2 linked regions of the Saccharomyces cerevisiae S288C genome follow. Changing the gene in region 1 together with any one later gene gives a genetic interaction. Each region holds a gene or a part of one and is shown in the gene's direction. Other genes may lie near its edges.

Region 1 (4,610 bases):
TCTAGGTAGTGTTATGGAAAGCAATAATTCAGCAAGGAATAGAAGAGATTCAAGGGCCTCCTTTTCCACAAATAGATCATCAGTAGTGTCAAATTCCAGCCATAATGGTGTTAGTAAAAAAATAGGTGGATTTTTCAGAAGACCATTTTCAATCGGTGGATTCAACACATCCAGTTCTAATTATTCACTCAACAGTATATTATCGCAAGAAGTTTCAAGTAACAAATCCATTCTACCAAGTATACTTCCAGAGGTTGATTCCATGCAACTACACGACTTAAAACCTAGTTATAGTTTGAAGACCTTTGAAATCAAGTCAATAATGGAAATAATCAATCACAGAAACATTCCGGCTTACTACTATGCGTTCAAGATAGTTATGCAAAATGGCCATGAATATCTGATTCAAACGGCTAGTTCTAGTGACCTCACAGAATGGATAAAAATGATCAAGGCTTCCAAGAGATTTTCATTCCATTCGAAAAAATATAAAGGTAAAACTCATAATAAGATATTTGGGGTACCATTAGAAGACGTTTGTGAAAGAGAGAATACCTTGATACCTACAATTGTTGTGAAATTGCTGGAAGAGATTGAGCTGCGTGGGCTAGATGAAGTGGGATTGTACAGAATTCCTGGTTCCATCGGCAGTATAAATGCACTAAAGAACGCATTTGACGAAGAAGGTGCAACAGATAATTCCTTTACATTAGAGGACGATAGATGGTTTGAAGTGAATGCGATCGCAGGCTGTTTTAAGATGTATTTAAGAGAGTTACCAGATTCTTTATTTTCTCATGCTATGGTGAACGACTTTACCGATTTGGCGATTAAGTATAAAGCACATGCAATGGTAAATGAAGAATACAAGAGAATGATGAATGAGTTACTCCAAAAGTTACCTACATGCTATTACCAAACTTTGAAAAGAATTGTATTTCATTTGAATAAAGTACATCAGCATGTTGTAAATAATAAAATGGACGCATCAAACTTGGCTATTGTATTTTCCATGAGTTTTATAAACCAAGAAGACTTAGCCAACAGCATGGGGTCCAGATTAGGTGCAGTTCAGACAATCCTGCAAGATTTTATTAAGAATCCAAATGATTATTTCAAGCAATAAACAATTTTCGTGGTAAATGTATACAATCCACTGCTGAGAGAGAAAAAATTTGGTCCCGCCTATCGAGGGTTTGAGTTTTATATTTTTATATTTACAGAGAGATATAGAGCCTTTATTCATTTTTTGTTATTAATGAAGTTTGATTTGTGAACAATTTTGATTTTGGAATTCTGCCTCTTCTCCTTGAAGCTTTCTTGTAACTTCTTCTCATTATCTTGCATCAATTGCCTTCTTTCCGCCTGATCTCTTGCCTTTTGAATGTTATGTTTTAATGATTGGAAGATGCCCATGTTCTCTGTGGGGGAAGCGCCAGCGATAGGAGTCCTTGGTTTAGCTACTTCTGTTATCTTCAGTTTCGAACGAACCCATTTGTTTCTCAAAATCATTGTCTGTAGGACGGAGAAGGCACCATTAAAGGCAAAGTAGAGGACCACAGCGGACGATAAGTTCATTGTGGCCGGTATAGAAATGATCGGTAGAATAGTGAAAAGACGCTTCATGGGAGAACTGAATTGTTGAGCACCAGTCTCACCCCCCAGCCTTGTAAATGAGATGAACACAGCGGCAGTGATTACTTGCAAACCTAAGTAAGGGTCTGCTTGAGTCAAGTCTGTAAACCAAGCGACACCTTGATTAGCGAACCCATCTACTGGGTAGTTAGCCATGTGTCTCAATGCGTTGAAAAACCCAAGGGCGATTGGAATTTGTAGCATGGGTGCGGCCAGCCATCTGTTCTTAATGCCGTGCGAGGAGAGCAGTTTTTTCCTTTGCATGGCGACTAGCTGACCTTGTTGCAAATCTGTAGTGGACATTAGCTTATTATTCAAGGCGTCCAGCTCGGGCTTGATATGGGAATTTCTAGCAACAGTATCAGAGGACTTGACATAGAGGGGAAACATCAGGCATCGAATGAGGATGGTGGTGGCCGCGATAGTTCCCCACCAAGGCAACCCAGAGTAAACATGAACGGCCTCCAAGACGTGTTGGATAATGTCCGAGGGCCAGTACCAGGTTTGGGCCAGGCCAATGCTATTTAAGTACCCTATATGGGAGGACAACTCGCCCACTGTTTGGGTCGTGTTAGCGATAAGGTCCGAAGTAGAAGCGGAAAGAGAAGGAGCTGAAGAGGTTAATTCATCGATGGAAGGCAACTGGGTTTGGATTTCCGAGACATCGTTGGCATTTGGGCCCGTCGAATTAAATCTTTTGGCCTGAAAAGAGATCCATGACGGATGGGGCCGGGGCAATACTATGGTTCGAGCGGTGGCCAGTCTGGAAGAGGCAGCAAACCTTGACGTGACGAGTCGAGAGGTGAGTTTGAACATCGTCGGGGAGGTTATTCTGTGGCTCCGCTTGTACGTGAACAGATACGTATAGAGGGCGAGCCACTGGTTAAATTTTTCATGGCTCGGATTACTTCCGTACTGCTGGCTAAAATCGAAATCTCGGCCTGCTGAGAGTGTTTTGAGCAATCAAGGGAACATCTGAACGTGGAAGAGCAGACGAGGCATTAGCTCGAACATAAGAACGGAACACGTCATGTTGACTATCACGAAAAGACTGGTGACCACCGATGTGCGGTCGCGAATACTGTTAAGCAGTTTAAACGGGAAAATGTCCGATGCACTGGCGCTGCTGCGTCAGCAGCAGCAGACCAGCGTGGATGTGGAGCTGCTGCACACGATGCTAGCGCGAGCCGCTGCGCTTGCCCATGCCGACACTATAGCATACATGTGGTATCAGCATGTGATGCCACGCCGGTTGCCAGTAGAGGGCCGCCTGCTATGTGAAATGGCTGGCGTAGCATTGTACCAGGACAGGCTCTTCTTACCCGCGCAGTTCCTCCAGCACTACCAGGCGATGAATCGCGATCGTCGCACCAGCCCAGAAGATGAACTGATTGAGTATGAGCTTAGACGGATTAAAGTCGAAGCGTTTGCGCGTGGCACAATGCACTCCACGGCGCTCAGGGAAAAGTGGAAGGTATTCTTGCAGGAGATGGATACGCTACCAGGGCAGCCGCCATTAAGGCTGCGCGACTTCCCGCAAATGACCAAGGCTATGGGCATAGCATTGATGCAGCAAGATGAGCAAGCAGCTGCCCTGGCGTTGTTTGGACGACAGCCCCTAGTGATAAAGAACGAATGGTCACTACCGCTACTACTGGCTGGTGTCCTTTGGCATGTTCCCGGCCCAGCGCAGGCGCGACGTGTGCTGGCGGAGTTCCGTCAAAGTTATCGCGGGCTGCCGCTGCTGGATGCCGAACTAGTGATAAAGAGAAGAGGATTTGAAATCAACACATAAATCTGGGTGGAGCATCGCTGTAACAAGGAACAACGCGTGCTAGCAAGCGGTAATGAAATACAAGGAAATCAATTTCTTCAAGGGCCATCCGAGCTCGAGGTTGCTGCCTCGAGAAGCAGTAATTCAAGCGACTGCGGCTATATTGGGGCCCGAGACCAGGGAGTACGATAACGACCCCTATAACAGGCATCCGCTGACGTACGGTTCGGACGAAGGTGCCCTGTGGGTGCGAGAGCAGATTTGTACGTTTCTGAATGATCAGCTGTTTAAGTTCGAAAATGGGGCTCGGAGCAGGACACGGGCAGACTATTTGAATCTGAATAGCGGCGCTTCGTATGGCATGCTGAACATCCTTCTGCAAACAACCTTGCCACATAACGGGTATACCAGGCAGGCGTTCATCATCACGCCAACATATTTCTTGATCAACAATTGCTTCACAGATGCGGGATTCAAGGGGAAAATGACCGCCATCAACGAGCAGGGCCACGACTCGATTGATTTCGAGTCGTTGATTTCTGCCCTTGAGCAGCACGAGGCGGAGCCGCAGCCCCATAGTACCACAGAGATGATTCAGGGGCCAAAGTTGACCAAGAAGGTCTACAGGTACGTTATGTACTGCATCCCGACGTTTGCAAACCCATCGGGAAACACATACTCGCTTGAGACCAGACGCAGACTTATCGACATCGCTCGGAAGTACGACATGCTGATAATCACTGATGACGTGTACGATATTCTAGATTACACGACGCCCTCAGATGAGCTGCCCTCTCCGCCCCTAAGGATGGTGCACATAGACAGAAGTACAGCGCCCTCCGGTGAGGACTCGTTCGGGAATACAGTGTCCAACGCAACTTTCTCCAAGCTGATCGCCCCTGGGCTCAGATTTGGATACCATGAGTCAATCAACGCGAATCTCGCCAGACAGCTATCTAAAGGTGGTGCAAACGTCTCTGGCGGAACTCCCTCACAACTGAACTCCATGATCGTGGGTGAGATGCTGCGTAGTGGTGCCGCCCAGAGATGCATTGCACATCTGAGATCCGTATACTCCGAGAGGGCCACTGTCTTGACCTCGGCGCTTAAGAAATACATGCCCCTAGGAACCGAGATTATGCCATTGAAGGGCGGCTATTTTACTTGGATCACTCTCCCACCAGCGTACAATGCCATGGAG
Region 2 (5,565 bases), on another chromosome or scaffold:
TAACGTATTTCTGTTTCTGGTCTTGGAGTAATGTTTGTAGTCTATTAGCGGAAGTACCTTTTTACAGTGTCGACACAATTTGACTATTTTTTCAACTAGATTACCGCATGTCCGTCAGGGCATTTGTTGTCATGCAAAAAAATGAATAAAAAAAAAGGGCATCATCAAGAGAAGAAAACCTAATTAACGAGAGTGCAGGACATATGCACAAATAATATATCTCACACCATAATAATGTCAAGTGAGTCAACAACTTTCATCGTGGATGTTTCACCATCAATGATGAAAAATAATAATGTTTCCAAATCTATGGCATATCTAGAGTACACTCTATTAAACAAATCTAAAAAAAGTAGAAAAACAGATTGGATAAGCTGTTATCTCGCTAATTGTCCCGTATCTGAGAATTCCCAGGAAATACCAAATGTGTTCCAAATACAATCCTTTTTGGCTCCTGTTACCACGACGGCCACCATTGGGTTTATAAAACGCCTGAAACAATATTGTGATCAGCACAGTCATGATAGTTCGAATGAAGGCTTACAATCAATGATTCAATGTCTGTTGGTCGTCTCATTAGATATTAAACAACAATTTCAAGCAAGAAAAATTCTAAAACAAATTGTTGTATTTACAGACAATTTAGATGATCTGGATATTACTGATGAAGAAATAGACCTGCTAACGGAAGAATTAAGCACAAGAATCATTTTGATTGATTGCGGTAAAGACACTCAAGAGGAGAGGAAAAAATCGAACTGGTTAAAGTTGGTCGAAGCGATACCGAATTCAAGAATCTACAATATGAATGAACTTCTTGTTGAAATCACTTCCCCAGCAACATCTGTCGTTAAGCCAGTAAGAGTATTCTCAGGCGAGCTTAGGTTAGGGGCAGATATATTATCAACACAAACATCGAATCCTAGCGGCAGCATGCAAGATGAAAATTGCTTATGTATCAAGGTAGAGGCTTTTCCTGCTACGAAAGCAGTTTCAGGCTTAAATAGGAAAACCGCTGTTGAGGTGGAAGACTCCCAGAAGAAAGAAAGGTATGTGGGGGTCAAATCCATAATCGAATATGAAATTCACAACGAAGGAAATAAGAAAAATGTCAGTGAAGATGACCAGTCTGGATCGTCATACATTCCCGTGACCATCTCCAAAGACTCTGTAACGAAGGCATACCGTTATGGTGCAGACTACGTAGTGCTACCGTCCGTTCTAGTCGATCAAACTGTATATGAATCTTTTCCAGGCTTGGATTTAAGAGGATTTTTGAATAGAGAAGCTCTTCCAAGGTACTTTTTGACGTCGGAATCCTCCTTCATTACCGCCGACACAAGACTTGGCTGTCAATCTGACTTAATGGCTTTCAGTGCTCTAGTGGATGTTATGCTAGAAAATAGAAAAATTGCTGTTGCAAGATATGTGAGCAAGAAAGACAGTGAAGTGAATATGTGTGCATTGTGTCCCGTTCTAATTGAGCACAGTAACATTAATTCCGAGAAGAAGTTTGTTAAGAGCCTTACCTTGTGTAGATTACCATTCGCGGAAGACGAGAGGGTAACTGATTTTCCAAAACTTCTGGATCGAACAACTACATCCGGGGTACCGCTGAAAAAGGAAACAGACGGGCATCAAATCGATGAGCTTATGGAACAATTTGTAGATTCAATGGATACAGATGAGCTACCAGAGATTCCGTTAGGCAACTACTATCAACCCATAGGCGAAGTAACAACAGACACCACTCTCCCACTTCCCTCTTTAAATAAAGACCAAGAGGAAAACAAAAAGGATCCTCTTAGAATACCCACGGTTTTTGTCTACAGGCAACAACAGGTGCTACTGGAATGGATTCACCAACTGATGATCAATGATTCCAGGGAATTTGAAATCCCAGAGCTTCCTGACTCATTGAAAAACAAAATAAGTCCTTACACGCACAAGAAATTTGATAGCACAAAATTGGTTGAAGTGCTCGGCATCAAGAAAGTAGACAAATTAAAACTCGACTCCGAACTAAAAACTGAGCTTGAGAGGGAAAAGATCCCGGACCTAGAAACGCTATTGAAGCGCGGTGAACAACACAGTAGGGGAAGTCCAAACAATAGCAATAATTAAAAAAGGTCTAACATCCTTTGAGTTATGTTTTCGTCACCACAGTTAAAGAGAAAAAAAAATAAATAGCGGGTAAATAATTGTCATACTACTGATTTGCATTGTTACCTTGTAACTTTGAACACTAGCCATGCAGGTTGCTTTTCCTCCTTTACACCTTCCCCCCTGTCGCTGTTCAAAAGTAAATGCAACAACAATAAAACGTGGGTAGAGGACGTTCCCTGTATGTACTAAAATCATACTATCATCCGTTGAGGTCGAGCGGTTCTCTAATCTCAACACACGCTGCTGCCCCTGAGCTTGCGAGCTAAGGACAACAGGGCCAACTTGTTCTTTCTAGGGGGGAGAGGCCCAACTTAGGCTCGGTGAAGAGAAGCGCGGAGCTCACGAAAAGGGGTGGTGTCGCGCACTACTTTTTTCGTGGGGAACTTACGTGAAAGGGGACGTTATACTTTTGTTATGTGCAGTTCCAGGAACAAACAGGGGTTGAAAAGTGTAAAAGAAATAGTTGATTCTTTCAGAATCTGGATGACTGCCGCCCGAACAATGTGGGAAATATAAAAAGGTACCGTTAATATTGTTTCATTTTCGAAGATAGTGTTCCATGTCTTTCTTCAGCGTTGCTTGAACAATAGGATAATAAGAAGAAGATCAACCAATCTTTCTCAGTAAAAAAAGTAACAAAAGTTAACATAACATGTCATTTCAAATTGAAACGGTTCCCACCAAACCATATGAAGACCAAAAGCCTGGTACCTCTGGTTTGCGTAAGAAGACAAAGGTGTTTAAAGACGAACCTAACTACACAGAAAATTTCATTCAATCGATCATGGAAGCTATTCCAGAGGGTTCTAAAGGTGCCACTCTTGTTGTCGGTGGTGATGGGCGTTACTACAATGATGTCATTCTTCATAAGATTGCCGCTATCGGTGCTGCCAACGGTATTAAAAAGTTAGTTATTGGCCAGCATGGTCTTCTGTCTACGCCAGCCGCTTCTCACATCATGAGAACCTACGAGGAAAAATGTACTGGTGGTATTATCTTAACCGCCTCACATAATCCAGGTGGTCCAGAAAATGACATGGGTATTAAGTATAACTTATCCAATGGGGGTCCTGCTCCTGAATCCGTCACAAATGCTATTTGGGAGATTTCCAAAAAGCTTACCAGCTATAAGATTATCAAAGACTTCCCAGAACTAGACTTGGGTACGATAGGCAAGAACAAGAAATACGGTCCATTACTCGTTGACATTATCGATATTACAAAAGATTATGTCAACTTCTTGAAGGAAATCTTCGATTTCGACTTAATCAAGAAATTCATCGATAATCAACGTTCTACTAAGAATTGGAAGTTACTGTTTGACAGTATGAACGGTGTAACTGGACCATACGGTAAGGCTATTTTCGTTGATGAATTTGGTTTACCGGCGGATGAGGTTTTACAAAACTGGCATCCTTCTCCGGATTTTGGTGGTATGCATCCAGATCCAAACTTAACTTATGCCAGTTCGTTAGTGAAAAGAGTAGATCGTGAAAAGATTGAGTTTGGTGCTGCATCCGATGGTGATGGTGATAGAAATATGATTTACGGTTACGGCCCATCTTTCGTTTCTCCAGGTGACTCCGTCGCAATTATTGCCGAATATGCAGCTGAAATCCCATATTTCGCCAAGCAAGGTATATATGGTCTGGCCCGTTCATTCCCTACCTCAGGAGCCATAGACCGTGTTGCCAAGGCCCATGGTCTAAACTGTTATGAGGTCCCAACTGGCTGGAAATTTTTCTGTGCTTTGTTCGACGCTAAAAAATTATCTATTTGTGGTGAAGAATCGTTTGGTACTGGTTCCAACCACGTAAGGGAAAAGGACGGTGTTTGGGCCATTATGGCGTGGTTGAACATCTTGGCCATTTACAACAAGCATCATCCGGAGAACGAAGCTTCTATTAAGACGATACAGAATGAATTCTGGGCAAAGTACGGCCGTACTTTCTTCACTCGTTATGATTTTGAAAAAGTTGAAACAGAAAAAGCTAACAAGATTGTCGATCAATTGAGAGCATATGTTACCAAATCGGGTGTTGTTAATTCCGCCTTCCCAGCCGATGAGTCTCTTAAGGTCACCGATTGTGGTGATTTTTCATACACAGATTTGGACGGTTCTGTTTCTGACCATCAAGGTTTATATGTCAAGCTTTCCAATGGTGCAAGATTCGTTCTAAGATTGTCAGGTACAGGTTCTTCAGGTGCTACCATTAGATTGTACATTGAAAAATACTGCGATGATAAATCACAATACCAAAAGACAGCTGAAGAATACTTGAAGCCAATTATTAACTCGGTCATCAAGTTCTTGAACTTTAAACAAGTTTTAGGAACTGAAGAACCAACGGTTCGTACTTAAAACGAATGATTTACTAATGGCTTAATGATTTTCACCTTTTTCAATGAATATTAACGGTAAAGAAGAAAATTTCAATTTTTTGAACACATACTTTATATACTTAATAGATCCATATTTCGACATATTAGCAAACGATTGCATAGGTTTCTGAGTCTTTTTTTTTTTTTTTTCATAAGGAGGAGAATATTTTGGTTAATCGCAGTATCTTCTTCATAAGTGCTGTTTCTAATTATATCTAATTCACGAATTTTTCCCAAATTAGCGTATCCCCGAATTCAGATTACCTACCCCGAGTTTTTTATTATATTTCCCTCGAGAAATCTGTAAAATGGCCGTCATCCTTAGATTTATAAATAAAATGATAAAATTCAGCCAAAGTGCTCCTAAACCAGAATTGTTCAACTGGGTCAAATTATCGCGTATACAAATATACATATAGTAACATGCATTCCTGGCGAATATCCAAGTTTAAGTTAGGAAGGTCCAAAGAAGATGATGGGAGTAGTGAAGATGAAAATGAAAAATCGTGGGGTAATGGCCTGTTTCATTTCCACCATGGAGAAAAACATCACGATGGTAGCCCGAAGAATCATAATCATGAACACGAACACCATATAAGAAAGATCAATACAAATGAGACTCTCCCAAGTTCCTTAAGTTCTCCAAAATTACGTAATGATGCATCCTTCAAGAATCCATCGGGGATAGGAAATGACAATTCTAAGGCTTCCGAAAGGAAAGCTAGTCAGTCGTCTACTGAGACGCAGGGACCGAGTTCGGAATCCGGACTAATGACAGTGAAGGTGTATTCTGGTAAAGATTTTACTCTTCCCTTCCCTATCACCTCTAACTCTACTATTTTACAAAAACTACTAAGTTCCGGCATCCTTACTTCATCATCCAATGACGCTTCCGAAGTTGCAGCCATAATGCGGCAGCTACCACGATACAAGAGAGTGGATCAAGATTCAGCAGGGGAAGGCTTGATAGATAGAGCTTTTGCCACTAAATTCATTCCTTCCTCTATATTGTTACCT

What was found. A genetic interaction does not mean that the proteins touch.
Region 2: mutations in PET122 (region 1) and PGM2 together harm fitness more than expected from each alone (negative genetic interaction), as found in Saccharomyces cerevisiae (2 studies listed by BioGRID).

Annotation. Positions count from the first base shown.
Region 1 is NC_001137.3:472,861-477,470, reverse strand, and holds PET122 (Pet122p), read left to right. Parts: upstream 1-2,665; coding exon 2,666-3,430; downstream 3,431-4,610. Other genes in the region: GTPase-activating protein BEM2, read left to right, coding at 1-1,126; membrane insertase OXA1, read right to left, coding at 1,243-2,451; YER152C (2-aminoadipate transaminase), read left to right, coding at 3,483-4,610. UniProt on the Saccharomyces cerevisiae protein: Required for expression of the mitochondrial gene for cytochrome c oxidase subunit 3 (COX3). PET122 seems to work by directly interacting with the small ribosomal subunit to promote translation initiation on the COX3 mRNA.
Region 2 is NC_001145.3:474,860-480,424, reverse strand, and holds PGM2 (phosphoglucomutase PGM2), read left to right. Parts: upstream 1-2,818; coding exon 2,819-4,528; downstream 4,529-5,565. Other genes in the region: ATP-dependent DNA helicase YKU80, read left to right, coding at 235-2,124; YMR105W-A (uncharacterized protein), read right to left, coding at 2,167-2,361; putative protein kinase YPK2, read left to right, coding at 4,972-5,565. UniProt on the Saccharomyces cerevisiae protein: Major phosphoglucomutase isozyme that catalyzes the reversible isomerization of alpha-D-glucose 1-phosphate to alpha-D-glucose 6-phosphate. The mechanism proceeds via the intermediate compound alpha-D-glucose 1,6-bisphosphate.